Schizosaccharomyces pombe: one gene and its partners. The gene in region 3 interacts genetically with the main gene of each other region. Each region holds a gene or a part of one and is shown on either strand. Other genes may lie near its edges. The genes, in order: alp7, fin1 and pim1.

What was found.
Region 1: of pim1 (region 3) and alp7, a mutation in one rescues a mutant of the other (synthetic rescue), as found in Schizosaccharomyces pombe (2 studies listed by BioGRID, with this or other methods).
Region 2: of pim1 (region 3) and fin1, changing one enhances a phenotype caused by changing the other (phenotypic enhancement), as found in Schizosaccharomyces pombe (2 studies listed by BioGRID, with this or other methods).

What each region holds. Positions count from the first base shown.
Region 1 is NC_003424.3:4,997,661-5,008,620, reverse strand, and holds alp7 (kinetochore-associated protein Alp7), read left to right. Parts: upstream 1-4,135; 5' UTR 4,136-4,425; coding exon 4,426-5,850; 3' UTR 5,851-6,221; downstream 6,222-10,960. Other genes in the region: ribosome biogenesis protein Ytm1, read left to right, coding at 277-1,448; serine/threonine protein kinase Ppk16, read right to left, coding at 1,650-3,500, 3,669-3,718, 3,786-3,879, 3,927-3,950; tbc13 (GTPase-activating protein), read left to right, coding at 6,645-7,688, 7,730-8,296, 8,349-8,597; rga9 (RhoGAP family GTPase-activator protein), read right to left, coding at 8,666-8,913, 8,949-9,347, 9,388-9,414, 9,467-9,553, 9,604-9,844, 9,887-10,633, 10,686-10,846, 10,902-10,960. UniProt on the Schizosaccharomyces pombe protein: Required for bipolar spindle formation and proper chromosome segregation. Has an indirect role in connecting the kinetochores and the plus end of pole to chromosome microtubules by targeting alp14 to the spindle pole body.
Region 2 is NC_003424.3:1,352,327-1,363,286, reverse strand, and holds fin1 (NIMA-like serine/threonine protein kinase Fin1), read right to left. Parts: upstream 9,067-10,960; 5' UTR 8,928-9,066; coding exon 8,868-8,927; intron 8,600-8,867; coding exon 8,576-8,599; intron 8,530-8,575; coding exon 6,445-8,529; 3' UTR 6,103-6,444; downstream 1-6,102. Other genes in the region: cyclin Pas1, read right to left, coding at 1-716; nucleoporin Nup40, read left to right, coding at 9,628-9,863, 10,051-10,930. UniProt on the Schizosaccharomyces pombe protein: Promotes chromosome condensation and nuclear envelope dynamics during mitosis. Activity appears at metaphase-anaphase transition.
Region 3 is NC_003423.3:2,485,850-2,496,809, forward strand, and holds pim1 (RCC1 family Ran GEF), read right to left. Parts: upstream 5,187-10,960; 5' UTR 5,122-5,186; exon of another isoform or gene 4,992-5,121; 5' UTR 4,980-4,991; coding exon 4,374-4,979; exon of another isoform or gene 4,199-4,373; coding exon 3,185-4,198; 3' UTR 3,170-3,184; downstream 1-3,169. Other genes in the region: Rho-type GTPase-activating protein Rga5, read left to right, coding at 958-2,043; SPOM_SPBC557.02C (uncharacterized protein), read right to left, coding at 2,476-3,087; Ark1/Prk1 family protein kinase Ppk29, read left to right, coding at 6,199-6,298, 6,371-6,504, 6,544-8,928; SPOM_SPBC557.05 (arrestin, meiosis specific), read left to right, coding at 9,375-9,889, 9,932-10,504, 10,548-10,761.

The DNA of each region.
Region 1 (10,960 bases), on a different chromosome or scaffold from region 3:
ATAGCTGGTCTCATGCAAGGCCCAATTACTATAAAACTGTGTAGAAGCTGAAATTTGTTGGCGAGAATCAAATGGGGGCTTCTCGAATCTAAGAGTTACTCTAGTGTTCTTTTTCACGCCTTTCTTAAAATTTTGTAAAATTCTTGAAGATGCATTACTAAAAGCCCTTTTTTTATTTTTTTGTCTCTTTTACCTTTCATCCTCGTTTTGCTTCATTGCTATACAATTTTGCGATTTTTTAGTTAATTTAATTTATTTCCTTACTAACTTTACTAGAAAAGCCAACACCCTTTGATTTTTTGGTTCAGGGTCAGCTGTTAAAAACTACTCTCGATGAGTACATAGTTCAAAACGGATTGTCTACGGAGTCGATTCTTGATATTGAATATATCCAATCTACATTACCACCTGCATATTTAGCTTCTTTCTCTCATGACGATTGGATTTCTGGTATTCAACTAACCTCAGATACCATTCTTACTTCTTCATACGATGGGATAGCTCGTGTTTGGGATAAAAGTGGTGAAATAAAATTTCAATCAACTGGATGTGGATCATCTTTAAAAAGTGCATCCTGGCATATACCTAATCAAAGTTTTCTCACTGCTTCACTTGATCAAAAAATTTTTCATTGGGTGATCGAAGAGCCAGAATCAATGTTGGATGCTGAAAAGAAAAGCTCCGGTATCCTTCAAACTCTTTTCGTAGGGCACAAGGATATAGTTGAGCGCGTACGATCCTTAGAATCTTCAAGCGTTTTTATTTCTGCTTCTGCGGATAATACTGTCGGAATTTGGGATTTTGAAAGGTCTCCTGAGACTACCCTCGAGTCCTTTTCCTCGTCTATATCTAAAAAGAGACGTCGCAAAAATGCAGAATTCACACCTCAAGCTGGGGCTCGCTCTCCGCTGATCCTTTGTGAGGGGCATACTGGACCGGTGATGGATATCGTCTTTTCTGATGATCCAAGTGTTGCATATTCCGTAGGCCAAGATCACACAATTAAGACTTGGGATCTCATTACTGGGCAAAATGTTGATTCCAAGATAACCAAAGCTCCTCTTTTATGCGTGGAAAAACTTACTGACCTACACTTAGTCATTTGTGGTTCCTCTGCGCGACACATTGTTGTTCACGACCCTCGAGCGGGAAGCGACAAAATTGTGAGTCATACTTTATCCGGCCACAAGAATTTAGTTTCCGGATTATCGGCAAGCCCAGAAAATCCCTATATGTTTGCATCCGTCTCTCACGATAACACTTGTCGTGTTTGGGATGTCCGTGCTACATCCGGCAGTATTTACACAATTTCTAGAGCAGAAAAAACAGGCTCTCAGTGGGATAAACTTTTCGCTGTTGATTGGAATAAATCCATTGGTATTGTTACGGGAGGTACTGACAAACAACTTCAAATCAATCAATCCTCATCCTTTGGAAAAAGCGAATGAAAAAAGATGTAGCATAAAAAAAATTGACAGATTATGATTTAGTGTGGTACAAGCGGGATAAGTTAAGGAACAAGGTCATTACTACTAGAGATTAAAAGTTTGATTAAATTATTTAAGAGAACACTTTATTAAAGCAAAATAAGTTAATAATTCAAATTATACACACCACGTAGCTTAGTAATCGTGTAATAAACTTAAGCTTCAGAGCAAGTCTGTGAAATGTTTTGAAGAGTCTGAAAAACTGGTTTCTTCCGGCTCCTCTTCCTCTTTGACTGAGCTTTGATTAAACATCAGAGAGGAAGATGATTGCGGGTTTTTTCTACCAGAACCAACTGTAAAAATTGCAGTAGCATTTATACGAGTGTTAAATGGCTCTCCGGAAGGAAAATGGAAACTTTTGTGCAATCGTTCAAAAGGAGAATGAAAAGGTGTTTGCCTTTGAACGGTCGAACTGGAAGGTTTAGATGAAATAATAGAAATTAAAGAATTTGAAGATGCAGAAGAGACGTTTGAATAGGATCTAGTACGGGATGAATTCCTCGAAGAAGCAACGGAAGAACGCCCAGACAAGCTGCGTATGGGAGTTCGTGATCGTCGAGTCGGCTGGGGAGATATGACAGTATTTTGCAGAGGAGAAGGTGGAATATCAATATTAATTGAGAGGTTCGAACTTTTAGAAGGGCTATTTTGAGAGTTCGAGGGGAAGGTAAAGTCTTTATTACCGTCGAGGTTTACCGTTTTTAAAAGAGGAGGAGTGAATGGTGTGTTTTGCTCACCTGTATCAACGTGCGTTGTTTGAGGAAGATTTGAGTGTCTTCTTCCAAAACTGTTAATCGAAGGAAACACGGTAAGGTTCTCAACTGAATTGTCTAAAGACTCAGATAAATTATCGGAATCAAAATTTTCTTGAGTTAAATAGTTTTCAGCCGAAGGACTAGGTGTTCTTGGTCTAATTGCTGATGAGCTTAACGTATCAGCAGTATGCTTTTGTTTAGGATCGAATAACCAACTACGAAATGTAGAAAGCAAAGAATTACTTGAATCTGACGATGTATGCCGACTTTTTAAAGAATCCTGATTGTTGGACATAACAGAAACTTGAGCGGTTTTTAATGATGGAGTTGCTGGAGCTATGTGTACAGCCGAAGATGAACCTTTATGTAAATGAAACAAACCTTTCTTTTTTTTGTTTTCCTTACGCATTTCTTTTTCTAGTAATAAAAGCCACCATCCATAGAACATGTCACAGCGCTGTTGTGAGATGCTGGCATTAAGTTGATCCATGTCAACACCAACAAATTCAAGCCTTTTACGAACTTTTTCCTCTGCTTTCGAGGAAGGCCTTGGGTCTCGAATAGAAGATGAATGATATCCATTTTCCTTGAAATAGGGGTGAGAGATGATTTGATCGATAGAGGGTCGAAGTCGGTAATCCTTGCAAAGGAGGGATTTCAACAAGCTTGAAGAGTTTTTGGAGAGTGTTTCAGGATATTGAGGACATTCATTGATAATTTTTTGCTCAGTTAAAGATACATCGTCCTCGTCGAACGGGAGCCTTCCTATTAAGAGAGCGTACATAATTATACCCAGAGACCATATATCAACGCATTCACCAATATATTTATGGCCCTGTACTAGCTCCGGAGCACAATAAGCAACTGTACCACAACGTGTGTTCATAAATGTTCTACGGGAACAATCAGAATCTCTAGAAAACCCAAAGTCTCCAAGCTTAACATTGTAGGCTTTATCTAGAAAAATATTTTCGAGTTTAAGGTCACGGTGAACACAGCCTTGTCTATGTAAATACTGAATAGCACAGCATAGCTGCCACATGATACGGCAAGTGGTCTTTTCATCCAGCCTTTTTTCTCTCGCTACCCAGTCATACAATTCACCATTTGGACAATACTCCATGGCAAGATAAATTCGGTCTTCGGTGCATACTACTTCATAAAGCCTCGTGATGTTTGGATGAAGAAGACGCCGATGATGATGAATTTCTCGAGCAAGGATAATCGCTTGTTTCCTGCAAGATGATTTCAGGACAACCTTTAATAAAAATGTTAGCAAGGTACAATCAATTTATTGATGAATAAAACGTTTATCATTCTCATAATGTAATCAACCGACTTTGGAACGGTCAATATTCGCAATTTACGAGCCGTTTATTCTTCTTTTTATAACTTAGAGACATAGTAATCTTTGAATAACCCATACCTTTGTATTTGTCAGTAAATGAGCTGCCAAATAAACTTTTCCAAAGCTGCCTACAACCCATGCTTGTTAGATAGCCGTCCAGTATTGAGCGTTCACAATAACACAAAAGTATCGTACCTTCACCGACAACACTCTCAATGCGATATGTACCGACATCAGAGATACGAGGATTGCAAATTGTTGCAATTAGGTCATTGTATGAGGCCGATATCTGCCATTCATTAGATAATCACGATTTCCCTCTTTTCATATACATACGTTTGCCTTTTCATTTTTCTTCATACTAAAATTTGGCACACATAATATCAAAGGTTGACTTGCAAATTGTTTAGTGTTTACAGTAGGATACTTTGGTGTTATTACAAAGGCTTCGGAGAACAAGCTACCGAAAATTCACCGAGAGCTCGGTGAACTCTTCCCACTCTCTCCTTACTCAGTGTAAACCAGTATGTATGTGCCTTTTATTTACACCACCATTGTACGCCTAGTGTTGAATCAAGACGAAGAATTGAGGGCAATAAGGGGTTATTTATTGGGCATTGTATGACTCAAGTTTGTTATTGAACCATTGTTCTACGTAGGCGGACATCTGACCAGTTTTCAAAAAGTAAAAATAAAAGTTAGCTACTGATCGTTAACTTTGAAACGATAATACCAGCTGTAAAATATTTGAAAAAGGATTTTCTTGTGTATTTATATTTCATATATCTGTTAGTTCTTTATATCGTTTGACGATTTTAAAAAGTCATAACCGAAAATGAGTGATATCGTTTCGAGCTCTACAGATTACAGTAGGAGGTCTCCCTCCTCATCTAGTATTGGGACAAATGAAACTGATCATACGGGTTTTCATGAAAAAAGGCAAGGTGCCTCTTCAGAATCATTGATTCCTCCAGCTCAACGAAGTTCAGAGGAATCCATGCCTGCCCCTAAATTATTCCCTAAGTTAACTTCTAAACCCAATCCACAGCTGAATTTAAAGGATACTCTTAATAAGCGAGTAAGCGATCGACTACAAGCCTTAGAGTTGAATAAATCTTTTGATTTTTCAGGAACCCCTAGACCGATGCATCCCATATCCCATCCTTTGTCACAGCATAAAACGCCAGAATTTAAGCATAGAAAAAGAAATGTAGAATCTATTTTGACGCCGAAGAATCCTTCTTTATTTTCATCGTCCAATGCGGCCTCCCAACGAGGCTCTTTAAATACCGCTCCATCTAATTTTGCATACAGTCATTCATCATCTTTGCAAACATCAGCTAGTTCTAGGCCCCCAGTGCTTTCAAACGGAAGCTTCCCACGTCAAACTAATACGGCGCCGTTGAACCCACCAGTGCATTTGAAAGACAACATTCGCAACTCTGCTACACCATCAACTTCACAGGCCGATATACCTACTCAATACCCAATTAATTCCACTCAAAAGCAGCAAGCGAAATACGAAGCTGAAATAGAGGGCTACAAAGCCAAACTTGCTGGCACTTATCATGAAATTTCCGTACTCCAAAATACAATCGTCAATGTTTCGGGACAATTGATTGCCGTTAATGACCAACTTCAGCAACTTAGATCTGGAAAAGCATCGACTAGTCCCTCCACAAAGGATACCAACATGAGACTTGTTGAAGGGCATAATGAAGAGACATTAGCTCTTCAGAGAGGTAAATATACTCAAGAGGAAGTTGACAAGTTAATTCAAGAACGCATGGAAAAAGTTGCTGAAGATTTACATGCTCAGTACTCAGCCAAGCACACTCAGAAAATTAATGCTTTCAAAGCCAATTATGCTCGAAAATACGAGGCAACTATACAGGAGCTTCAAAATCAAATCGGTACTGCTCCTAATGCTCCAAAAATATCCAACAGTAACTGGGAGGAAGAAAGGCGAGCATTGAAAGCAGACAATCAGACTCTCCAAAAACAGCTGGAGAAAGCCATTCAAGAGCGCCAAGATATGTCAGATTTTTTGAACAATTTTAAAGCTGATATGGCGAAGAGTGATAAGTTACTAATGCAACAACAATCACAACAGACAGGTGATTTGGAAACACTTCGTTTACAACTGCAAGCGCTTCAAGAAGAGCTCCGGGTCGAAAGGGAGGAACGACAACAGTTGATACAAATGAGCGAGGACTTGGTAATTGCAATGGATCAACTGAATTTGGAGCAAAAATCATGATCTGCGCTTTCATTTTTGATAAAAACAATCTCCATAATTTTTTTTTTTTTTTTGATAGAGTATTGCTAATGTATTGATGCCGTTTCCTTTATCCAAACCACTTCTGTATTCTCATGATTAATTTAGTTTCATATTGATGACCCCAGTTTCATGAATACAACCCGAATTCTTTTGATTTCCATTAATTAAGCCTTCTTTTATGGTTATACATTATCTACCAATTTTCGTATATTTATACATCATAACAGTTCGATATACAACCTAATATAAATTGCATATCCACTCTTTCTTCTTTTATTTGTATTATAGATAGAATCAAAACTGGAGCCAATCTCAAGGCTAATTTCTCACATACATACATTAGAAAACGGTGCATTTATTTAATAAATATCCAATTATTATTAATTGCTCGTTCTAGGTGCTGTTTAAACCAAATATTTCTTTCCTGGTCTGTATGTTGCACCTACATCAATCTTACCTATACTGTACATCTACTAAGGACGTTCATTACTCTGTACTTTCCTACAGTATTTGATTAGGGAAGTATTGTTAAGAAGGAAATTAGTATAAAAAATAAGTCAGAAAATTTAGTCGGTTCTTAAACTTGCATTCAATTTTAGTAGCTAACTTAGTTCCATCATCCACGTGTGAAACAGGCTACTGAACACACCAATTGCGCTCTCCTTTTCTTCATATATTTAATTTTCAACAGTAATATTTTATATATGATAATATAACTAAATTGGATATAGTCAAACTACATAATATCTTATTTGAATCGCTTCTAGTTTATTATGGACTATAAGCAACGCATTGAAAAATTTAAAGACATTTTAAATTCGGAAGAGCCAATTTCTCTCCCTGGTTTATGCTCGCTTTGTATTCAAGGAATTCCTGATGAATATTCACTTAGGGCAAAAGCTTGGATGTTGATGCTTGAGTTCCTTCCTACCGATAGATCAAACTGGCAATCAGTTCTAGAAAAACATCGAAAAACTTATACATCTTTCGTTCAAGAGCTTCTTATTGATCCTTGGAGGAAACTAACTCTACACGAGGAATCAGGCGAAAACAGTGACCATCCTTTAAATACTAGTGATGATTCAAAATGGAAGGAATATTTCGATGACAATCAAATACTTGAACAAATTGATAAAGATATTCGTCGGACTCTCCCCGATTTATCGTTCTTTCAAGGAAAATCTGAGATCAACAAGAAACCTTCAGTCAACAATGTCAGTGAGAACATTAGTGTAAACACAGAAGACGATAAAGTTGAAGAAGTTGGACAGAAACTCAACTATACCAAAATAACTTCAATTGATCAAAGCCAAGAAACACCGGTCCATTTATCAACGATTGACTTTTCCAAATTTCAAGAAGAATGTCATCTTGTGCTACAAGGTCGAATTTATCGTCTTGAAAATGAATCGACTAGTTCATCTACAACAGCTCTCAGTACTCCTCGACAAAGCATGGATTCAAAAAGAACTATAAATGCTGAAGCAATAGCTGGAGAAAACAAGTTAGGCTTACATCGAGAAGCGGCTGAAAGGATTTTATTTATTTATGCGAAACTCAATCCGGGCATTGGATATGTACAAGGCATGAACGAGATTCTAGCTCCTTTGTATTATGTGTTAGCCACGGATCCTACTTATGAAAATTATTATTTATGTGAATGCGATGCATTTTTTTTATTTACTCAAATGATGGTTCAAGTTCGTGATTTGTATGAAAAAACTCTGGATCATGATTCGGATCATGGCATTCACTTTCTTATGTCTAAATTTACTGAACGTTTAAAAAAATATGATTATGAATTATGGGAGAATTTAGTACGTATTAATATTATATATCATTACTGACCAACCATTAGGAGGAAAAACAAATCCATCCAACGTACTATTCTTTTCGTTGGTTTACATGTTTATTGTCTCAGGAGTTTCCTTTGCCGGATGTAATACGATTATGGGACTCTATTATTGCAGATCAAATGAAAGCAAGATTATTTGGAAAAAACGATGATGGTTTCAACGGTGCTTATGACTTTTTAATGGATTTTTGTTGTTCCATATTAATTGAACTAAGAGAAAGTATTTTAGAAAGAAACTTTGCAGATTCAATTAAGCTGTTACAAGCTCATTTTAATGTTGATATGCCTAAATTGCTTAATCTTACATTTGAGTTGCAACATTTAAGGAAAACATCCAAAAATGATGAAGATATGTCTTATGTTCGGAAAAATAGCTACAATACTAATGCTTTGGCCAACTCTTTAAAAAATCGAGTATTGTCGACATATAACACTGTGAAGGCAAACGTCCCTCAAAGTAGTAGTTCTTATACTGATAATAACAAGCAGAAAGAACCATTGGAAGAAAAAAGAAGCTTTTTCCCTAGTTTTAGAAGCTCTCTAGATGGGGTATCTCCTACACAAGGCAGGGTAAGTAAACTTCTAGTTTTAATCCATCACGTGGTATTAACTCAGTTTTTAGAAGAGTGGAGAGGAAAATATAAGAACAATTTTTGCCAAGCCAACAGCCCATATTGGGGAAAATGGATGGTCAAATTTAAAAGTCAAAGGAAGCAGCATATTTCAAAGATTCGGAAACTTCGTGGGTGATACTATGCGCTACATTACTGAAGAGGAGGAATCCAGTGAGGAAGAGGATCTTACTACTTCAAGAAGAAAAATTGGTATCACCTCTAAACGAAAGGTGTCCGTTAAACGGAATGTGATTTAGATTGCTATAAATGACATATCGTAGTTTTAATGGACAATGTAAAGTAGGTTGAAAAAGAATTATAAGTTTTAAAATGGTCTAAATCTTCGTGTTGGTGATGGATTTTTGCAAGGCGAGGATGATCGTGGTAGTTTCAATTTCTGAGGAGACGTTGTTATTGGAGTCAGGGCCCTTTCAATCTCCACAGGAGGTGTCGAAGGCCTTTCAAGATCTGCGAAAAGATTCTCAAATTCATTAATTAAATCAATAACCAGTAAAGTAGGATGTGTGTCTTCAACTGGTATAATATTCAAATCATCAGGAGGACGGAGTACACCTAGAGGTTAGACAAATATTTGTAAAATGACATACATGGCGAAATTATTTTAGCAAGATGTCGAATTTGACCATCTTTCATGCGAATAGAGATTGCATAGGCAGATAAATGGCGAATTATTTCTTCCAATATATGTAATGGTGTGGAGTGCAGATGGAGAAGACACTTTTTAATTGAATACAGGCGGTGATCGAGGTCTTCAAAGTCTGTATAAGTAGTGTAGATAGCTTTGAAATAATCATAGAAACTTGATCGTATCAACGAATCAGGAAATTCTAAAAGGCATAACCTTAAAGAACAAGTAATTGAAGAAAGTGTATATTTTTCCACACAAGCATTTAAAACAGATTCAACGTTATCTGTCTTTCGTAAAACGCTTTTAAGGTCAAAAGCATCTTTAAGTGGAACTTCGGTAGTCCAAACACAACTTAAAACTAGCAAAAATTAGTATTTTTCAAGTGAATACTTTCTTACCTTCTTCGTCACGTTCATAAGAATAGGCTGATTATATTAGTTAAATTTGAACAAATGATAAAGAAACTATTTAAAATACCGTCTAATAGATAAGCCAATATTTTAGGCACCAACGAAACAATAAGATTATCTTCGGTCAAGCTGGATTTTTGCAGAAACAAGTATTCTGTAGGTTAGATAGGTTAGATATCACAAATTCAATAAATGTGGACTTACCATCTTTAGTAGATAGTTCGTTGTTAGAAACCGGAATAAAATAACCGGTATAATGTTTATTTATTTGAGTTGACATATCGCGCAAAGAATCAAGATTTTTAAACGAATTTAAGTTGTCGATAAAAATCGAATTAAGACTAGGTATAAAATTACCGGAATAGTTGGAACATTCAACCAAAACCGATTTGACAGCATTCAAACGATCAAGCTCAGCTTGTTCTAAATCTTTAAAAACCATAAACTGGAAAGGGTTAGCAAATGAAAGAAGAATAATGCTCAATACCAAATATAACTCTAATTCATGACGGCATTGCTCTAAATTGTCATAAGCAAGGTTGTACTTTTGTAAAACAGGATCATCATTAGTAGCTGTTATAGGATCATTTACTTGAAAATATGGATCGACCTCAAGAATACTCAAATGATAACTTTTCAATAGTTGCTGTGATTTTGTAGTAAATTGAGCATCTATCTCCGGATCATTTTCAAAAACTCGACGAATGCCAAGTAACCTTATTAAGCCATGTTGTATCAGCTGGTTTCCAGCTTTAACGACATAAGAATCTTTTTCCAAACCAAATGTTGTCTTGATGGCTTCAAATAGAAGAGAGCAGTTTGTAACAAGTTCGTAGTCACCGAGATGAGAATAAGATTTTCTTTTAACAGTAGACGCCTTCATAAGCTTTAATAATACATTGGCAAATTCCTCAGCGGTATATGGATGATCAACTATGTTTATCAACCCATCAAACTTATTAACGTTAGAAGGATTAATATCCAGCTGAGACAGAGCAGAAGCAAGAGAATCGGATTTATTAGATTTTCGAGAGGTAGGAATTGGCTTTCGGTCGGTCAAATTAGACTTCTTGCTGTTTACATGAGAGAAACGTGAATTGTAGTTGTTTATTTTGACAATTGCGGCTGAAACGATTTCATCTACCCTTCTAGAATATTTCTTTGACCAATTTGCAAAAGGATTTATTACCAATATATTTAATTGCTCCCCAAGCTTCTTGTGCAACGACGCTTCCTATTGTAAATATTAGCGATAATGACCATAAGAGTAACGATTGAAAGTATACCATTAAATAGCTTTCATAAAGCTGGTGTATGGCTGCATCAGAAGGAAGATCATTGCTTTCTTCATTTAAAGGATGGTGCTTATTGAATTTTGAAAACGATTTGAACAGCAAGTCAGAACAAGATGAAGCTGACTTTGCTCTAATATGTAACAACTGTAATACTAAACGTATTGTTAAATCATTAGTTATTACAAGAAGAAGAATTCATGTGCATACGCTTTTCGTTTTGTTCAACACCTTCGTTGATTAAACGTTGGGCACGATTTATTCCCGTA
Region 2 (10,960 bases), on a different chromosome or scaffold from region 3:
GGAGTAGAAGGTGCCATCGTAAGAATAGGTGATGAGTCTTGAGTTGTTTGAGGAGAAGAGGAGGGCTTCCTCGTAGCCTGATTCTTCAAAGCAGCATTAGCATTCATTCTGCGATGTGCTATCTTCGTTAAACAGGCAATGGAAAAAAGATCATCTAGAGAAGATTGAACATTAGAAAACAAAGAGACCCAATATTGTGCGACGCTGCCAAATGAGGCAACATTAGGATCGGTGGAATCATAACGTGCAGTCGCGTGAGCACAACATTCACCAACTAAAAGAGACCATCTAGCAAAAATATGTTTAGGAACGACAAGACGATAATCGATGCATTGGTAAAACATATATTCCAAAACAAGTAATTTGTCAACTGGAAGTCCTGATAGGCGAGACCAAGCACGATTGCTAAAACTACGATCCTGTAAAAATTTTGTAGCGGCCATCAAGCAGACTAAGAAAAGACGACGCCCACATAACAGAGGAATGTAGTTAGTAGGCTTAGAAGAAGCAGCATCACGAAAACGGATGAAGTAATATAAAGCAAGAAGCAACGTAGTGTAATCGACACGACTTCTGCGAATCGTTTCATACAAAAACTGAGTAAGTGAAAGGGAGTGCGAATGTGATTGTTGATTTGTACTTTTAGCCAAGGGGTAGATAGAAAGAATCACGGTACTAAAGGACTCGAGCAAAGCTCGCATGTTAACTTTCGACATCGTGTAGAGAAATATCTAAGATGAAATTTTAAGCAGCTGTTGGAGAAAAATGAAAACTTTTAGCAAGCTTTTTCTCAAAGAGAAGAAAATACGAGTTTATGAAAGGGAAAAAAGCTAACAATGAAAGCTTTCGACGAAAATTTAGTAGAAAAGTAAAAATGGATGACAAAAATTGGAAGACGAACACAATGAGGAGAACGAGTAGATTGACTAAACAGTGCTCCTAACTGGAAAAAAACAGAAATCTCTAAAGGTATGCCATGTTGAAGACACGTACCCAAAATCAGTTAATATTATTATACAAGAAAAAGAAGCTTAGTAAGCCTAAAAAGTTGCAAAAATGAAGAGATAGATGTGTTGGCGAAAATAGTCATCCAAAGAAAGAGTGTAAGAAATAATAATGATTGCTTGAAATCGAATCTTCAAGCGCACAAAGTCGAATTTGAAGAAAGAAAATAAAGCAAAACCGAGATTTTGGGGACCAGGCAGATAAAAGGAAAACTTGAACTGTGTAAAAACCCAAAATAAGCTAGAAAGGAGAGATTGAAAAAATGAGAGGGAAACTACTTAACCAATCTCCTTAACGACGATAAAAGATGCAATCTCTAGAAGAATTTGTTGGCAGAAGAGAAAAACGAATGAAGCAAGGGATGGGATTCAACGATTGAAATATAAGCTAAGATGAATGCGGAAAATAAGCAAAGAAAACAGACCGACAGATAGATAAATAAATAATAAATAAATGTTTGAAATTACACGAAACCGTATGCGAAACCCAAAGTTAATCGACGAAACCAGCGACGGAGTTAGAAAACGTTAAAGCTACAGGGCGACAGCAGACGAATGAAACAAAGGAAAAGTAGATAAGCCTTTTCCCGAGAATTCAAAGAGGCGTGATATTGCAGTCAGCAGAGTAGTTGGAACAATGAAAAAAAGAATAGAAGAAAGAGAACACAAAGCACCTAAACCCAGACAAGCAAATAGAATAAAATAAAATAAAAAGAAAATGAAAAGTTATAATATATCGTGACAAAGAATTAAAGAAGAAGAAAAGAACCCTTCAGGTAGTAAAGGTCTAAGGTGAGAAAGATCCGTAGCGAATCAAATAGATTAGATTTATAATACAGCAGCACCGAATGGTAGGTTACGAGATTCTTCACAAAATGTTTAAAGGAAGGAAGAAAGAAACCAGCAGACTAATTATGTGTCAAGAGGAAGTAGGATTCGATGAACGATGAAAAAAAAAAGTAAAGAAGATGTTAATGGATGAATGATGATTCCCAAACAAAACAAGAAAAACACAATCCAAAACGAGGAAAATTGAGAATAGCACAAACACCAAACCAATTCTATCTAGGCTGAAGAAAGGAAGACGAATGTAACAAAAAAGAAAGGATGAACGTTATGTTTTGTATGGTTGCTTAGCAGAGGGACGACCGGCTCTTCTTAGGAGAGATGACTGATGTTATATATGCAAAGAATGGAAAAAAAAGGTGATTGTGGCAGATCTATGATTATATGAGATAAACATCAGTCGCGGCTTGTCAACCACATTTGTTACCGAGAGTGGCAGGTAACACTATCTGCAACAACGAGATCCTTTGCACATCAAACGTTAGTCCACCGTGATTTCACACCACTGCGTAAAGCAAACATCCATAATTTCAATGGGGTAAAACGCGTCGGTAAAGTTGGCGTCTTGGACTGCCGATTTTGTGAATGATAAGACGTGGAAGTTAAGTCAAGCCGGGACGTTGAAAGGTTTGGAAAGCTGCATCCAGAAAGGCCTCAACAATGGAAAAATTGGATCAGAGCAAGGTTTAGCAGTTGAAAATTGGGAGGGGGCGGAAGATTGGGATGGATAAATTCTGTAATGTCTAGGTATAGCGAAGGGGAAGGCAATGCGGAAAAGGATTTGAGGAAGGAGGCTCATAGGGATAGATGAATGATGTTTGGGGGGGGATATGAAGGACATGTGGTAGTTGGATCAATTTGCTTCCAATCTATTCTAGAGGTTTTCTTGCTTTGTTCCAAAAATATGAAAGTGGTGTCCATGATTCATGGCTCCGATAGATTCTGATTCCTCATAAGAAATTTTTTTTTCTTTGCGTTTCTTCGCTATGTTACCCAAGTTTTGGGCTGCTTTAAGCGACATTGGATTGGCTCAGCTCAGATGCCAAGCAAGTAATAGTAAGAGAGAGAGACATTCAAGGCGGATTCCACTATCCATCAGAGAAGGTGGGATAATGGGGTGGTATGAAGATGAAATGATTTCTTTAAGCGGAGTGGATGGATATTTTGAAAGAATTGCTAATTGTTTTACTTTGTGATGTGTAAAATTGCAATTTCTGTGATGGCATCGCTAACTCCATCGATATCGCTGATTCCATCAGCACTCGAAATGGCGAGCAAGCTTGCGCAACTTGCGAAGGCAAAGATGTAGGATGAAAGTAGCGATATTATTGATGAATACAGTTGTTGGGCAGGAAATATGATGGGCGATGCGATGAAAAGACGCGAATGGTTAAGAATTTGAAGAGTGAAAAAATAAAAGTAAAATAAAATTAATACATTAAATCAAAAGCAAAAAATAAAATTTATAAAATAAATCAAAAGTAAAAGTATCATTTTATAAATTAGTAATGAAACAAAACTTTGAATATGGAAAATCTCTCCATTAGTTTATTGAATAAACAAATATTTCGAATTTTTATTATTGTACTTTAAAATTTTTAAATTATTTTACCTTATAATTAATTTAATTTTTATAATTTACTTTTTTGCCCTTTAAATTTTTCTGTTTATTATTTATTATCATTCATGAATTTAGTATAATCTTTATTTTATTGCTATTATAATTTCATTAAATATATTTTGATTTCTTTTTTTCTTATTACGATTGAACACTTTTCCTCTTCTTATGGTTTATTTTGTTTTCTTTGAGTTTCCTCAACTACTTTCACCGTTGCTTTCTTTACTTTTTTTTTTCTTTCTTTAATTTATGATTATTAATTTATTATTTATTTTTTACCATTTATGTATCATATCCAAATTTTTTTTTTTTTTTATTTCTAATTTCCTATTATCCTTACTACATCCAAGCCATCCTCACTTCCCCTCGCCTCTCTTCTCCAACCGTAGCATAAACAATCCTTTCTTTCACAAAACTTTTTCACCCCCCTCACCTCTTTCTCTTTGTCCCAGCATTGCTTACCCTATCCTGCCTACCATTAAATCCCACATCCCACATCCCAGCTGTTATTGTACTTCCCAATTCTTTCTGTATTTCTGTACTGCGCTGGTTCAACGAAAACGCAAACATAAAATTTCCTTTCACCCACTCGTCCCTTGTTATCGTTGTTTTTTATTTTATCATTTTTATTTACTCTTATTTTGATTATTTTTTACAAGTTATCAGCGAGCGTGTTTATTTATCCATCCCTCTTGTTATCAGTCCAAGGAAAACTGTTTTACCGACCAGCGCATAAGCACCAAATCTGTTTTTCTTGTTTTATCTTTTCTAATTTTCAATGTATGCTTTTCTTTAGTTTTTATCGTGAGAAACAGCATTTGGCTTACAATTTTTCACATTCACATTCACATTCGCATCACATCTCATCTCATCCCATCTGCTACTCTTTGGCAGCACTCACGGATTCCACGCAATTAGCCCAAATCCGGTGATCTGTAAACATTTTTTAGCTTTCCAACAAGTGCAAACCTGACGGAATCCTTTAATACTTTTTTTTTCTTTTTCTTTTTTTTTTTTTTTTTTTGGTTGAGATAAATAACAAATTTTCTTTATTTTTTTCTCTTACACTTTAACTTTGAAATTAATCCATCTTTTTCATTTTGTACACAAATATTATATGTTATTTATCTTTTCTTTTTTTCAAGGTTCTCTCTCTTCTTCCACCACTACATGGAACGGTCCCGTTTTTTAAAAGTGCCTACTTTATTTGATTTGAACCGAGGAGTCCAAGGCACTTAATTCCTCCCTTCCCGTCTTTCTTGCTCCGCTTTGTCGGACCACAAGACAACTGCTGTTTTGACAGTTTTTGGCCTTAAAACTTAGTAAGTCACAACTACTACGAAATAGAGTCAGCAGCGTTATTACCACGTTGTTATCTTAAAAGACCTCCTTTTAACCTAATCACCTACCTCTCTTTACCACTACCCATTAGACTTCCCGGTTGTAGTGGAGGGTTCTAGGTACTTGGTGGGGGTTATGCATGCAGCCGAAGCAGAGGTGGTAACAGAGTACACAGGCTGAAGAAGATGTTGGGTAAATTAGGTTAAATGGCATGCATTACGATAAGGGAAATTACGCGTTCTTGGGATGACAAAAGTGAGTGCACAAATATCATATAGCGGTGCATAATCATCACATACCACGTAAAGTATTGACATACAGTGGAAAAAGGAAATATTGCTTCACCGAGACATCATAATGAGTCCATTACATAATAGGATATGTTTTAGCTAGCGAAGCTTCTTCTCATCCCACTCTAAAGGATCAGAGAGAGTTAAGGATGAATGGAGAAGGGTTTGTGTAAAGTAATATTGTGCTGAGTAAAGAGATATAGGGAGAGAGTTGATAATACAAAAAGATGGGGGTTGCAAGTTGGTGATTTGACTTATCTCTCAAAGAAAAGAAAGAACTTTAATATCCAATGGCCTTAGTTGGCAGCATAAAGAAAATTTGATACTTTCGATAGCTCTAAAAATAAAAAACAAAAACAAAGAAATTTAAACAAAACAAACATTTTATGCGATAAGAATGGGTTAAGATTGTAGTAACATGTGTCGGCACTTCTTTTAAGTCAAAGTATGTAAATAAAATGAAATAACAATGAATGACTAACTTTCATACTTCTACATTACAACTAAGTATTTATATGTGTTTGTCAATTACTAGTTTGTACTATATTCTGCTATTTTCATCATTGCTATTATCAATCCGTCAAGTGGTTAATTGATTCATCCCTCATTTGGAATCCTATTTGTGTCACTTCGTATACCATTAATATCCTTTTTTCTGCCACCCGAAATTGTAAAAATTTTTTTTACTTCTATTACTTCCACTTTGTTTTCTTTCTAGACTATTTTTGATGCCGCTTCCATAATCGGCTTCTTTTTGATAAGTCATCTCTCCAGATACCAGATATCTACTCATATACGAATTTACGTATATCTCCATTTATTATCTACGCAACTTATCCTTACACCAAAAAAAAAACAGTCTCTCTTGTCAAGGCTGGCGTTTCGTAGTTTTAGCTAATTCTTTGGTTCTCTCTAATTACTACATCCATGAATTTTTGTTTCTGTGTAATATTATTTCAAAAATTATAAAATTAAATTCCATTTACAATACGGCTCATTCGAATTTGGGGAAAAATATTGTTATTCAAAATTTCCTAATCATCTAAATGTGTACTGTTAAAAGGCTCAATTTACTAGCATCTCATATTCGAGAACTTGTAGATGCAAATATCGTGTTTGTATTCCTTTATTAGTAATAAACTTCGTGATAAACGCTGACCAGCAGTGTTTCATTTCTTTGAATAAATAGAAAACCAATCCTTATAATTAGGGGAAGTTCAACACGGTACGCATTTCAATAATTTCATTTACATTTGGGCCTTTATTTTTTGCTGTATTTTTTTTTTAGTACGCATTTGTGCTAATATAATTCTCGTACAATTAAATGCACCTTAGGGAACTTTACTTAAGCCCTCATCATTCGGGCGTCAAGCATTTTTCGTAGAAAGGGTCTTGGAATTTCTTCTTCATCATCTCTCCAAGACCCGGGTAGTGTTCGAGACTGTAAGCTAGTATAGTTCGAAGTAGATGCCGCCTTTCGTAGTTCCAATCCTGCATTGTCCATCGCTGATCGTCGAAGCTTGTTGTAACCAAGTCTTCCCAGCTGTTTTACAGGCGACCGCTTTTGTCCTTCCAACAGTTGTATCTTTTTCGGAGTCCGTAACACATACTCGTCGGGGTGTTGATTGATCTTCATCGTCTTAAAATTGCCATCCATTTCATTTTCTCTTGCTATCTTCTCTTCAGCATGAACATCATAAGGTGACGCTAGTGATGGTAAAGCATAGCCATGTAAGGTTTTTGAAGCTTTCGAAGGTTTCGACACTTCGTCCGAACGAATATTCAACTTTTCGAGTTTCTCCACATAAAGACTCTGCGGAGAAGGTGGGTGGACAAAAACAGACTTTGACTTCGTATCAGTCAACGTTGAATCAGTCGGGACGGATTCACCACTTGAAGCACTCACTGCCGTTTCATCGCTCTCTACGCTAAGTTTGCTAACTTTTCGATTTGGTAAACCTTCACCGTCTGAAAATTTATTACACAATTCAGAAGGGCTTAGCTTCTTTCCGTCCAAAGATGTGTGCAGCAACTTGTTCATGCAATCCGCCACTTGATTCGACGTGCCGTTTTTTTGCTGTAACGATGTAATTTGGCCATCTTTATCAATAGGTGTAGTCCTTAGAGATGACGCATTAGCTCTGTATTTCATTAATGTTGCAGTCGTATGTAAGGCTCTGCTTGATAATTCTTTACGGAGAGTAGGTCTTTTCAATATCGGTTGTTGTGTAGTTAGAGTGAAACCCGGACACGATAACGTTTGCAAGGGCTTGCTAATTCCTAACTTAGGAATATGAAGTAGGGGGGATTGTGATGCTTCAATTGTACAATCTACAAACATCTCAGCGGTACTGCTTTCAGGTTGTTCATTATGATCCACAGGACTTGTAACACGCATTTTCTGCATAGAGTTTACTACGGTTTGCATGTGTCTTTGATAACGAGCATCCATGTCACGCAGTTGCTTTTCCAACTCACGTCGCAATATCTCTTCACGTTGGGCTAAGCGAGAAGCTATAACGTTTTCGAGTTCACTTTCCCGAGCAGAAAGCCTTTGCTCGCGAAATTGGAGATCATTTTCCAATTGAATAAGCATCTGATGTTTTTTATGAAGCAAATCGCTTTGTTCCAAGACTACTCTCTCGGATTCCAATTTACTACGAATATCGGATAAAATAGGAGAGCGAAGTAGCTGGTAAGTAGTAGGTCTGAGGTCTGAATTAACTTCTAAGCAATGCCTGATTAGAAGGAAAACATCGTCGCTGTAATGATGATCCCAACAGGAGAGATTACCCTGGCAAATATTACGTTGCAATTCCAAATACGACCTTCCTTCAAAGGGATGCGTAAGCATGCAGATCTCAAAAATAACACAGCCAAGAGCCCAAACATCAGACTTCGCACTGTAAGGGCTGCTCCGAATTATTTCAGGAGACATATAGTATGGAGTTCCCACGTAACTCTGTGTGAAGACACGCGTATTGTCCAGCAATTTGGATAAACCAAAGTCTCCTAACTTAACTGAATTATTTTCATCAAGAAATATATTCGCAGGTTTGATATCTCGATGCAATACAGATTGTTTAGGATGAAAAATTTCTCTTGGCCACTGTGAGTCACAAGCAGGCGCATTTTCTCCATAATGGCAGCGATACAGAGCAAGTAGTAATTGCGTAAAAAATTTGAGAACCTCTTGCTCGGTAAATCTCTTTTTCTCTTCTTTATAACGTTGAATAAGATTGGCTAAATCACCATGACCACAATATTCCATATAAAGGTTTATTACCTGCGCAGAACGATTCAATTCTTCTCCGCAGTATTGAACAATATTTGGATGCTTAAGATTACGAAGAATATTCACTTCATCTGCGATGTACTGCTTTTCCTGCCGAGTAATGTTACCAAAGTGTATTTCCTTCTGAGCCAAAAGCTAAAAAGTATTAATAACTATAAAAATAAATTGCTTTCAAACTTACAGCACCATCCTTTAAGCGTTGAACCTATAATAGTTAGCATAATGCATAAAAAAGGAGTTGCAAAAAAAAATATCGATCAAAGTTTCAATTTGAAAAACTGTTTTGAATAGAGTACAAACAATAGCGAAAAGCATTTAAATCAATATAGTTTCCCTGTTTCTTAAGAAAACAATTGATTCAATGCTATAGATTCATTTGCCAACCACAAGTAGTTGCTCGCAAATAAACTGAAAACAAGAAAGAATTTTGCTATCCAATAACCAATTTCAGTGAAAATAAGATTAAAACTTACTTTATAAATCCTTCCAAAACTCCCATGTCCAATACACTCAAGAATCTTGTATTTTTCCATACTTCAGAACAGAAGTAGCCCATGAGATTCAGGTAAGCTTAAAATAAAACTAAATTTCTCGGTAGGACCTTTAAAGAAAAAGAAAAATTCTTCTATCAATTAATAATATAAAAAATACTGCTTGGAGTGATTGAGTGCTAAGTATATGAATTTCAAGCCAAGATGTTTATGTTTGGTTCTTCTGCAGTGTCTCGTTAAATCATCAAGTGTAAACAATGTTGCCATGGTTAGGAGTAACACTGTTACTTCAGGTGCTTATTGCTACGATTATAATATATATCCAGTCGCATTTTAATTTCTGTAAGAAAAAGATACGCTATTCAATAAGCAATGAGAAAAAGTTGTGGAGAATTTTTATCATCTATAATGCCTTTTATGACATGATTGTATAAGGTTTGTTGTAAATGAGCTTGGAATTTAACAGAGTCCTTTAAATCAAGTTTTAAAAAAATGAATAGCTAAACGTATTAATATTAGTTTGAGGCTTTCAAAAGATTTATCTGCATGTTTTATAAAAATCAATAGCATTAACAATAAACTGTTATTTTGCGTTAATTGGTTTTAGTGATCTACGCTAGGCTTCATGATTCATTCCATGCAAGCCATCTCCTTCAAATGAACTTACCGCTAATTTATATACGTTGCAAAACATATGTTACACAACAGTCTATCACAAGACTCTAGTAATATTGCCGGAAACATGTCTTTTGGGGGAAGTGGTTCTATCACGAATCGATCAACCTTAAAGCCACTTTCTGTCGATGATTTACGTTCGCCCTCTCCTCAAAAAGAATATCGTGGATTTCGAACATCTGTTTCTAACATTCCACAAGAAAAAAAATTTGTTCCCAGTCATCTTTCACACTTTGGATCAAGTCAGCAGCGTCGATTTGCCCCAGAGGTTAGCTCGCCTTTAGCAGAACCATATGAGTCATCGTAAGTAATTTCTTTGAAGAGTTTAAGGGACATTTGAAGACGGAGGATTAAAAAATTGTTTAGTATAATTGCTTTTTTACCTAATATCTATCTATATCCAAATTTGTTAGAGCTTCAGCCTAATCCCTATGAATTTTTAAATATTAGACATAAACTCTTAGAACCTTTACTAATTTTCTCTAAATAGCTCTTCCTTCCGTTTATCTCTCTCGAGTCCCCCTTCTTCAAAATTCGGCGGACCCAGCTTTGGTACACCGAAACCGTTTTTGCATACAAATCGTTTAGGTACCGGATCTTTAATTGAAGATGCTCCTCCTACTCAATCCATTTATGACTTTTCTTCCTCTAGGCAAATTAATGCTCTCAATGTTGGACAAAGTTCTTCCCCTTTTTCTCCTGTCTCTGAAAAGGTATACGACCCTTCTTTTACCATGTCTGGCGCTCCTCAAGATTCAAATACCTCCGTTATCGTTTTCGGTTTCCCACCAGAATTGACAAATCAAGTAATAGCTGAATTTTCTCGTTTTGGAACTATTATTAGCGAGAATTCATTAACTGCTTCAAGTGCCGGATTCACTCCCTCCAAGGGTCCCATATCTGGTAACTGGCTACAATTAACATATGCTGAGCCTTCTTCTGCTGCCAAAGCAGTTTTGTCTAACGGAATGTTGATAAATGACTCTTTTATGGTTGGATGTATATACAGCCCCGCAGAAGCGAAGGAGCATGTTCCGAAAACGTTAAGAAACAGCAATAAAGACTTGGAAATGACGGATGCCTCTTCCTCCGAAACCTCAATGTCTATTCCCGTGCATGCTGATGCCCATTTCCAATCCCAATCTGGTCTTGGTAAAAAAGTCATTGTTCAACACAAAAATGATATTTTTAAATCTTCTCAGAAACATCAACCTCGTAATTGGTTATTTCATTATTTATTTGGTTTTGGTTCAACTGAGCCAATAGATGAGGAAGAAAAATCTAAAACTGCTTCTGACAACACTTCGCTTCAAACTTCTCTATTTGGAAAAATTGTTCAAGTCGTATTGCACACATTGTTTGGGTTTTAAACTTGTTGCTCAATTAATTTGGATGTTATG
Region 3 (10,960 bases):
AGTTTCAAGCATATTATACAATCATAGAAATTTGCATTACTAAAAGAATTTCTCTTAAAAGATTAATTATCTAAACATTCCTGTATATCGAAAATCGTAGTTGTATGTACAGAGAGACATGGTACTTTTATTTATCAATAAAAACAGTATACCAACAACCAAGGGGAGGGCATTCTTCATTGTCAAAACTCGTCAGTTTGACTTGTAAGAATTCGCAATTCAAATATTTCCTAGGAACATGACTTTCAACTCGTCCTTTAATGAGCCCACTTTGCACTGCTAATCTGGGATGGGTGGTATCAGCACACTTCCTACTGACACTAACGCTAATGTGCCATGATCGTAAAATTGCAAAATCTTCGCTATCGCAAGCAGAATGTTTGTTTTCTCCGAAGTGTTAAGGAATGTATCGAATCGTATGGTAAAATCATTCCATCATCCAAAGGTCAGTATACGATATTGGCACGCTAATGCGTACAGGACAATGCTAAGCCTCTCTCTTTACGAGTTGCTCGCTTGAACGACTTATAAATTCCTTTAAATTAGTAACCAAGCGAGTAGTTTGGTATTTTATTAGAGGATTTGCCTTCCCCGAGCATCCTCGGAAGTACCGGCTGTGAAACTGCGACACCCACCTTGCAATAGCTAACTAGTACTTACCAACCCCGTAGTGTGAACCTGCTTTGTACACAATACAACAAATAATTCTAAAAGCGCAATTTATTAAGTTAAGTTTACCCATCTAGTGGAGAACAGTGTTATTTGAGTTGAACAGAATTGTTATTCAATTTTAAAGAGTGTCAATTTATCGGTTACTTTTTTTTTACACATCTACAATTCTTTCATTGTATTTGGGTTTAAATCTTTTGTCTGTTATCTCATTTTCCTCATTGAATTCTTTTTTTTATTGTTTTCATTTGTTAAGTTTTTCAATTTTTATTACAATAGCCATTGTTCATGACTGTTGTCGTAGGAGTCCTACAGATTGACGATATGGGGAAAAAGTCATCATTCGCTAGCTGGTGGAAGCAATTGCGGGTTAAAAAGTCAGATGACAATAAATTGTTTGGTCTGAGCCTTACAAGGGCTTTGGAAGTATCGAAGGTCGCTATCTTTCTGACACGCCGAGACGGTGAGAAAGTATTTTATGGCTACATTCCCGCTGTCGTTGCTAAGTGCGGGTTTTTTCTTAAACAAAATGCTACCCAAGTAAAGGGAATTTTTCGCGTTAATGGTTCTTCCAAACGAATCCAAATTCTCCAAAAAGCTTTCAGTACAGGCCCGGATTATGGCCGAAGTTTTGATTGGGAAGGATACACAGTTCATGATGCTGCCAATGTTTTTCGGAGATTCATCAATCTAATGCCAGAGCATGTGATTCCTTTGGAGTATTATGAAAGGTTTCGTGAACCCATGACAATTCCCAATCTTACAGACAATGAGCGAGTGGAAATGTATCGTCGACGCATTGATGAATTACCGATTCCAAATCGCCAGCTTTTACTTTATTTACTGGACTTACTTTCCGTTTTTGCGATGAACTCGTCGAAGAACCTGATGACTGCTGATAATTTGGCTGCTATTTTCCAACCTGGAATTCTATCTCATCCTGATCACGAGGTTTACTCAAAAGATTATCAAATATCGCAAACGGCTCTTTTGTTCCTTATCAATCATCAAGGAAGCTTTATCAAAACCATTCCTTTGTCTTCACTACCTCCTCTGGTAGCTGCGCCTACTTCTCCAAATACTTCTTCTACTTTAATTACGCAATCTGCTGCACCTACTCCTATAGCCTCGACATCCATTAGGATTAATTCTTTTAATCCAAGAAATGGATCCATTAAGCGTTGGCGCTCTTTTAGTCGTCATTCTAGTGCCACTTATTCCAATAGTCCGAGTTCAAATTTTTCAAACATGAAAAGCTCCGAGGTGGATCCTGGTTCACCCCCAAGAATCAAATCTCGTTCGTATTCATTGTCTAGAAGCTCATCTATGAAGCTTTTCCATACACTTGATCGCCGGAGGGAAAATCGTATGTAATACTTTTAATTGTTTTTCTCTGTTTATCTAGTTTAATTGTCTTTGTCCTTGGTTGTATGGCGAAGAATCTTTTTGTACATATATACTTAGTTGTTACCGTCCGCTCTTTTAGTTTTATTGGGATTTGCATTTAGGCTGGATACCGCTACTGTCGTTTTATGTTTTTTTCTTTGTATTCAGCCATTTTCATTTTAGAAGTTCTACTTAACCATAGTAAGAACAAATTATCCAATTCGTTATTGTTTTTTGTAATTGTTTTTTGTTTTGGTAGATCAATATATTTATCTACATAGTAAATTTATCTGACAGCTTTCAGCTACTTTCGTAATTTTAAATTTTTATTAATTTGGTGTCCATATATCTGTACAAAGAAACTTTTATGAAAACAACAACGACATTGTAACCAGAAAGGATTTATCAATCTATACTTTATTAGGCTCCAAGGAGATCCTGTAACAATTGTAAGAGGCGCTTCTGATCTTCAGATAACTCTTCATCATTATTCACTGACAAAAACAATGGTATCTTCAGGTCTGCAAGGATTGCAAGCTGTTCTTTGTACATCCTGTTTGTCAATTGTACCACTTGTTCATCAAATTCTTGTAAAGCCCTATTGTCATCTAAAGTTTGAGCGGAATCATTGTTGGTCTGGTCATTAAGACAATTGGACGGTTGTTTCAATTTAGGGTCGGAGGAAAGCGGTTTCAGTATTTCTTGAAGCTTAGTTTTCGACTCAAAATGTTGAACTAGCCGCTGCCGTTCCAGAGACCAGTTGCGCTCTTGACGTTCCTGCATAGCCTTCATCTTTCTTAATTTTTGTAACTTTTCGGGATGGCGGGAATTTAGGGCAAAGATGTACCTCAAGGCAGCGGGATAGGTTTTAATTTTTTCTGCGTCCTCTATAGAATTGTTCAACTCAAAATCAGAGGGTTTCCGAGCCTTCGATAGAGGGATGGATGATTTGTCTACATTTTCAAGCTGATTACTCGTTACGTTGGAGGAGCTTTGAAGCTCTTGAAGCAAATCTGCGATTTTTTTATCCATTTGGAAAACTCATGAATTTTGTATGCATCAAACACATTGATATTCAAAATAATTTATCTAGCCCAAAAATAGTTAAAAGAAATTGAGAAATTAAGTACTAAGCAGTGGTGGAGCTGGGTTCGAGAACAGAATCCTTAGATTCAGATGTAGCGGTAGATGGTTCGCCGTTAGAGGTGACATCGGGCTTTGCATCAGTAACGGGAGAGTCATCCGTTTTGGAAGTTTCTTCGGTTTTTAATTTTTTTTCATTTTCGGGTTCGCTTTTTATGCCATTTGCAACTGGCTCTTCGGAAGCGTTGGGAATACCAGCAATGATGGAAAATTGACCACCTGCACCCGCTACACGGATCGCCACTTCCTTGATTGCCTTGGAACGAACTAATGTAGGAACAGCTACATCTTCATCATTATCACCTTGACCAACCTCGTAGTTTTCAGCAGATCCCCATGAATAAACCTTACCATCTGAGGTAACAGCCAAGTTGTGATGGGTACCACACACGACCTGTATAACATTAGTAAGTCCTGGGATTATAGTAGGGGTTGACAAGTAGTAATTGTTTCCCTTTTCATCTTTAACTACTGTTTCTGGAAGTGCATTATCCGGAATTCCTAATTGATGACGATCATCTCGACCCCAGGCTAACACTCTCCCATCTTCAAGTAAGGCTAGGGTATGATGTTCACCACCTGTAATAGACTTAACATTATATCCTTCTAAAGCATCAACGAGTGTAGGCTTTGTAATAACGGCGCCTTCTTCTTCATCTTCTACCTCTATTCCACATTGTCTGGTTATATTTAAGCCCCAAGCATAAACGCGTCCTTTGTTGTCAATCGCAAAAGAATGATACGATCCTGCTCCAACTGAAATAATATTTTTTAAAGCTAACGGTTGAGGAGTCAAGCCTTGAAGTCGACGACGTTCTAACATACGTCTACCCAGTTGAAACTGTTGACCATTACCCCATGTATATACTTTTCCTGTGGTAGTCAAGGCAATAATATGGTCCGTCCCTGTAGCTAATTGACAAATTTCGGGAAGTCGCATCTGCGTCGGTTCAGCTGTACGTTTTTGAGAATCGCTATACCCTAATACACCATCGGAACACTAGTATGTTAGCAAACGAAAAATGATAAATTTATAAAGCCATTTGTTCCAAAAGGGCGAAGGGAAATGATACAATGAGTCAATAGACTATAAACAACACTGCAACGATAACAGCACCTGAATTTGGAATCAAAGATCAAATGATAATTTTTCACGGCCAAAACAAATTACTTACACGGAAAGTACCCCAAGTAAAGCAGCAGCCATTGTCCGTTATTGCTGCAGTGAGATTGTCGCTACATATAACTTTTGTAACGCGTAGATGAGATAAAGCACCTTCGACCTTAGAAGGAGTTCCCTCTAGTAAATCATTGTCAACTTTGTCTCCATTCTCATCCTTTTGATCCTTAGTAAGACGACCAAGGGCATAGTCATCATTAACTCCCCAGGTGTATACGCGACCGTCATGAGAAAGGGCTGCAGAATGCATGCCGCCAACAGCCAAATCGACTACTCCTACTTTATCTGTAGATAAAATAGGATTCAAACGAGGACGATAAACGACATCCATTTCTTCTTCGCCCATACCTAGCTCGTTCATGGAACCGCTTCCAAAGACGTAAACGTTCAATCGTTCCGTAGGTAGTTCAGGTATCTTATTAATTCGCTTTGCGCTTCCTGGGACACGAACGGGTTTGGGTAGAGAGCTGACCTTTGCACGTTTAACCGGCTTTTTGCCATTTTTCATCACATCTGATTCATCTAATTCTCTTTTTTCAACCCCATTTTTTGAGACCTCCTCTCTTTTAGTTGAGCTTCTAGTACTTCTATTAGAAGTCATTATGAGTTTTAGCTGGAAGGGTTAGCTTTGCTACTAACAATCGATTTGTAATTTAAAAAAGAACAAGATGTCATCGCGTATTCCATGCAACCATCACCAGACGCAAATCCAAGAATTACATTTACTTTTTGGTACCACTTACTATAGCTTGGGTTTAAAATATTACAAAAGACAAAAAACAACGATTTATGTCGTTTTTGTTTTCGCAGAGACGTTGTTTTCAAAACTCGAACAAGTCGTTCTGTATACGGATTCTCACTATTCAGTATACTGCGAATCGTTGTTATGTGCAGCTTGTAATTAAGCATTCGTTAATTACAACATAAGCTTCGTTTAGCAAAATAAGTTATTGACTTCAGTAAAAGTTCCCAGCTTGTATTTGTTCAAATGTGTGTAAGGTGAGCTACGAATTTTTATGAAATCCTTTCTTTTTTTTTAACTTCATTTGATTTATATAAATTCGTTTAATCACGTCGAATGTTGAAAATTTGAGACCTCTTCTTATCTGAGAAAGCGGTTTCATGTATAGCTAAACAAAGATCAAATTTAAAAAAAAAGCTCATTAGTCATAAGAAGTTACAGTAAGACTCGGAGTGTCCATCGTTCAGCAAGATCGTATGCGAGAATACGAACTCAAGCAACGCGATTTTAATCTCTTCATAAATTATTTTTATGAGGACCATATACTTTTTTCCCTCATGATTTAATATTTAGTTACAATGAACATAGTCGTTAGCAGTTTCTGTTTTCTTTATTCTTTTCTGGATTTATATGTCTGTGAATTTGCCATGTCATAAATTTGGGTAACGATGTTACTCAACTTGATTCTACAAGTTTGCCTGTGAACTTGAGTATACTGTAAAATTAATTTCTCTTCTTAATCAGCTCAAATTATTAAAAGTTGTAGTTGAAATTTTCAAAATACGGCAAGTTGTCTTGTGGGGGGCGGTTTTATCTATCGGTAATGGCTCAAAGGTTAACCCTATAGAAGGGACTTGTGGTGTTTGGTGACTGGCTCAGTACCTTGCCAACAGCAGAATTGGCATCCCTTGCTCATCTTGATCAAAACTGTGTAAATACAGCCTTTTCAAAGAGTAAGTTATTATAATAAATTTACAACTAACGTAGATAGGGCTTCGGATGCTGTCCCATTGAATTGCGAGAGTGTAAACAATAACCTCGCGACTTCAGCCAGTATTGAACAAAAAACCTCTCTAGGATGTCTGTTGCATCCTTTCTCACGGGCGAAAAGCTTCTAGCAGGATCCAAGTTTGTAATTGGAAAATACAATGTTACTATCGAAAAGTACATAGCCGAAGGTATAATTTTTGGGTTGGATGGATCGAGGAGTATTACAATGAAAGATTTATTTTACTAACATTTTTCATTAGGCGGCTTTTCTCATGTATATCTTGTTCAAACAAATTCCAAAACTGATGGATCACCGATAACTGCTGTTTTGAAACGCATGTATTCTCCAGACGAGAATGCCCTGCGTTTCGTGAAAACTGAAATCGAAACGATGGTATGTTAACGTTATTGATTTTTTTGTCTAACTTATTAGGAACTACTCAAATCCAATCCCCACGTGGTTTCGTATATCGACTCCTGCATATTTCCTCTCGAGAAAGCGGGTGTCAACACTGGATTTGAAATCCTGCTTTTGATGGAATACTGCGCTGGGGGTGGATTGATAGATTTTATGAATCAAAGGTTACAAACTCGGTTGTCAGAGCATGAAGTCTTAAAAATTATTTCAGATATTGTACAGGGTGTTGCTTCCTTACACTATCTGAGACCTCCTCTCATTCATCGCGATCTGAAAGTAGAAAATGTTTTGCTAAGCTTTAATACTTTTAAATTGTGCGATTTTGGAAGTGTGACTGAGCCAATGCATGCTGCTGAAAACTCTAGCGAAATTCAAGCATTAGAAAAAAGTATCAACACATTTACTACCTACCAATATCGTGCCCCTGAGATGATTAATTTGTATTCAGGCTTAGGAATTGATGAGAAAAGTGACATGTGGGCTTTAGGAGTCTTGTTATACAAACTCTGTTACTATACAACTCCTTTTGAAACACAAGGTCCTAACGCTATATTAACAGCTTCATATTCCTTCCCCCCATTTCCTCCTTATTCACATTCTCTTAAAAATGTCATCATCGCTTTACTTCAGCCGAATCCTTGTCTTCGTCCAAATATTTTTCAGTTGATGTGTGAGATATGTCGTCTTAGAGGGACGGCTTTACCTTTTAGGGATATATACAGTGGAAGAGAGTCGTCTTTTTATGATTTGCATAACCGGAAAATAATGTCTTTGCTTCGACAAACAACAACAACACCGTTTGCTGGAAACCAAGTCATGCCGACTCCACAGGTTCAGGGCTCAAGACCTCCCCCTCCTCCTCCTATGCCAGCTCCTATCTATAACGTACCAAATGTGCCGACTGTACCAACCGTTTCCCCTAATCCATTTTTGCAACCTACTTTCTCTGGCACTTCTCAAGCTAGTGCACATCCTTCTATCCACAGCCAATCCGCAACATTTAACAACACTCAAGATGTGAACAGACAGAGTGTTTCGTCTCCGAAGGTTGTTTCATCAAGTTCTGTAACTGGCTCAGGAGCTAGTGGTCGCAAAGTCTACACACCTCAAAGTAAGAATCCCTTCCCAATATCTCAGGGAGTCACGGGAACATCTTCAAAATTTTCTGCTAGCGAGGTTACAGAAGATAATGGTTCACCAAACGCCGGACTCGATGCCGATAACGTTGACGTTGAGGAAGTTGTTAACCAGCGTTATCCTGATCTAAATGAGTTGGAGTCACAGCTTACTAGTCATACTAATATTACGACTAGTTCTCATCATAACCCTAGGGAACAAGAGATAGCAAAATTGGCTGATGATGCATTCGCTAGTTTCCGTCAGACAGCTGGTACTTCAACCGCAAATAGTACTCATACCACTGGTACTCAGGATATATCTGCCTTTGATACAAATTTTTCGGAAGGGGTTGGTAGCGTAAGGTCTTCTTTTGATTTCCCTGATCGTCCAGTATCTAGACGACCTTCAAGCACTTCTAGGTCGTCTGTTAAAATTACTGGACCTTCGAGCCCCAATGCGCGTTCTATGGCTTATGAGCAACACTCCTTTAACCTTGATGATTTGAGTAATACTAATTTTGGTTCTAATAATTCTCTTAGACATGCCAAATCATTTTCCAAATATTATTCACCTTCTCATAAAGATTCGAACAAAACTTCCAGAAACACATCTAAAGAGGGGCTCCCCTCCAGTCCTACTATGCTCTATCGTACAACATCTAATACTAGAGGTGACTATATCGTTCAACGCACACAACAGTCTGCCAATCCTTTGACAAATATCGAACCCCAAGATATGTCAAACCTTAGTACTGATATTAATGCTTCTGACGTTGTTGCCGATTCAACCAACTCTATTCTTTATCCTACTTCGACCGCGTCTTCTGTTGCCAACACTATTGCCTCCGATGTTGACGACTTTGGAACTTTTAATGGTTTACAAAGAACCGTGAGTTTACATAGTGAGCGGGCAAGTCTTGACAAGAAGCGTCCTTCTTTTCATGACAAAAATCCGTACTTTAAATTTTCTCCAAGCAAGTATGTTGACGAAGGATTGGAAGGTGAAAGTGAATTAAGAGAGCGTGTACGAAGTTATGCTAACCGCTCAAGTTCAAGTTTCCATAATCCAGATTTAACAGACACAGAAATTCAAGAGACGTCTTTTAATAACGATTTGAGGCCTGTAGCTTCTATTCAAAGTGCAGAAACCTCCAGAAGCGTAAGTGATAGACCTGCAAATTTTCCAGAGGAATTAAACGACACGTTATTTGAGCAAAAATATCCGGGAATTGTTGATTACGAGGAACCCAATTCGAATGCAGAAAAGAACGTTAATATTTGAGTTATCAACCAGACTTTACCGACTTTAAACTAATTATATTTTTTTGCAATGATTTATTTCCTTATTATATATATAAATCCTTCATGCAAATTCGGTGTTGCCTTTGAAGAGTTTTAGATGGATGATTTTTTGATATGTACCGCTTGATGTCACGGCCTGTGCTTCAAGTCTTTGGAATTTTTACTCATGTTATTCTCTGTATCTATCGTTGTTCACTAGTTCTCCAGGAATTGGAGTTCCCTATACATAACTCGGATACATAGTAGCCAAAATTCTAATATCAGTTTTTCAATATAAATTCCATTTTTTGGATTATTGTAAAAGCTTTAGTTATTGACAAGTTATTATTTATTTTCAGCGCAGAGTTTTATGTTGTCAAAGCTCGTTATTCCAATCGTGGTTAAATAATCAGAACAAGTAAACAAACAAATACCCAACTAGATAACATGGATTTGTGGAAGAAAGGAAAGCGCTTCTTTCGATTTAGTAAAGAACCAGTAATTACATGTATTAATACTAGTTATGCTGGTAAAGAAATTATATTTGATTTAATTGCCAACCCGCAAATGGAAACTAAAGATGTCAATCTTACTTTGGATTTTGATGCACCAATTTTCCACCGAAAAGCAGGAATAGACGGGCTGCTAACACTAACTAATAAGTCAAAAGTAAACGAAATTCAGCTGATCAGTATCGAAGTCTTTATAATTGGAATATGTAAACACAAGTTTCATTCGTCAACAGTCTTCCTGTGTTTAGGAACTCACATCATGGAAGGGCAATACATTGTACCAGAAGAACTCTTAGATTATGCTAAAAAAAGGGGGAAAAACCGGATAATCAGTATTCCCAATCATTCAACAGTTGACATTCCATTTCAAGTCAATTTTCCTAAACACGTCGAAGTAGGACCTGGCCGACAAATCCATTCAAGGGTAAAGGTACAGTATTTTGCATACGCGTAAGTAAAAGTGACAATGATACACGCAAGCTAACAGTTAAGCAATATAATTTACCAAAGCGCAGACAAATTGAGAAGTCGGAGAGAATGCCAAGAAATAAATGTACTACCCAGCATATCACCATCCTCGTTTTTAGACTCTCCCTCCATTATGTGCGTAAGTAAACAACCAGACTTAAAAAAGGACCGTCAACGTAAATCGGCCACAAGAATTACTGTGAGTTTGCCCCGAACAGACTGGCTTGCCGGTGAGTCAGTGGTTTCGAAAATTAAAATCGAAAACCATAGCAAATCCTCAATTAAAACCTTAAAACTTTGTTTGTACAGACGTATTATTGGCTTCGATCCACCAAGTTGGAAGACACAGCAAATGATGAGCCATTTAAATTTAAGCCGAAAGAATTCAGAAGTCTCCAAAACATGCAAATGTTTGCAAAAAGAAACAATCAGATGTAATAAAAAGAGTAACTGCTATAATTGGAATGGAATAGCTGCTCTAGAAACGTATACAACTGAATGTCATATTCAAATACCTGATAAAGAGGCAACAATAACCGTCGGCTCAAATTTTGAAGTTGACCATTTCTTGAAAATTTCTGTCGGGAATAAATTATGGTAAGGATTAAAATTTAATTAAGATATATACTAATACTTCAAGGACACTTAATCGAGTAGAAATACCGTTCAAAATTATTTCGGCCAATTCCCTTTCGTTAGAGCAAGAGAATGTATTTTTAAATCTAGAAAAACTAACGAATAAAGCCTCACCACATGGGCTTCCTATATCTGTGCGATTAGGAAATAGTTTATCATATGACGCATTGTCAGCGGCTAGGCGTATGAGAAATACTCGTTATTTTTTATATTCCTGAAGCAGAAATGAAGTTGATAAATCCAAAGGCAAATGAATGATTGAACATTACATAGTTTTTTTGAAGCATCCATTTAAACTTACCGCGTACAGAAAAGTATCTCAAGAAATACCTTTATTGAGATACAAAATGTTATTTAATATCACTCAATATTCCATAAATAGAGCAACATAAGGACATAAATTAAATATAACTTTTC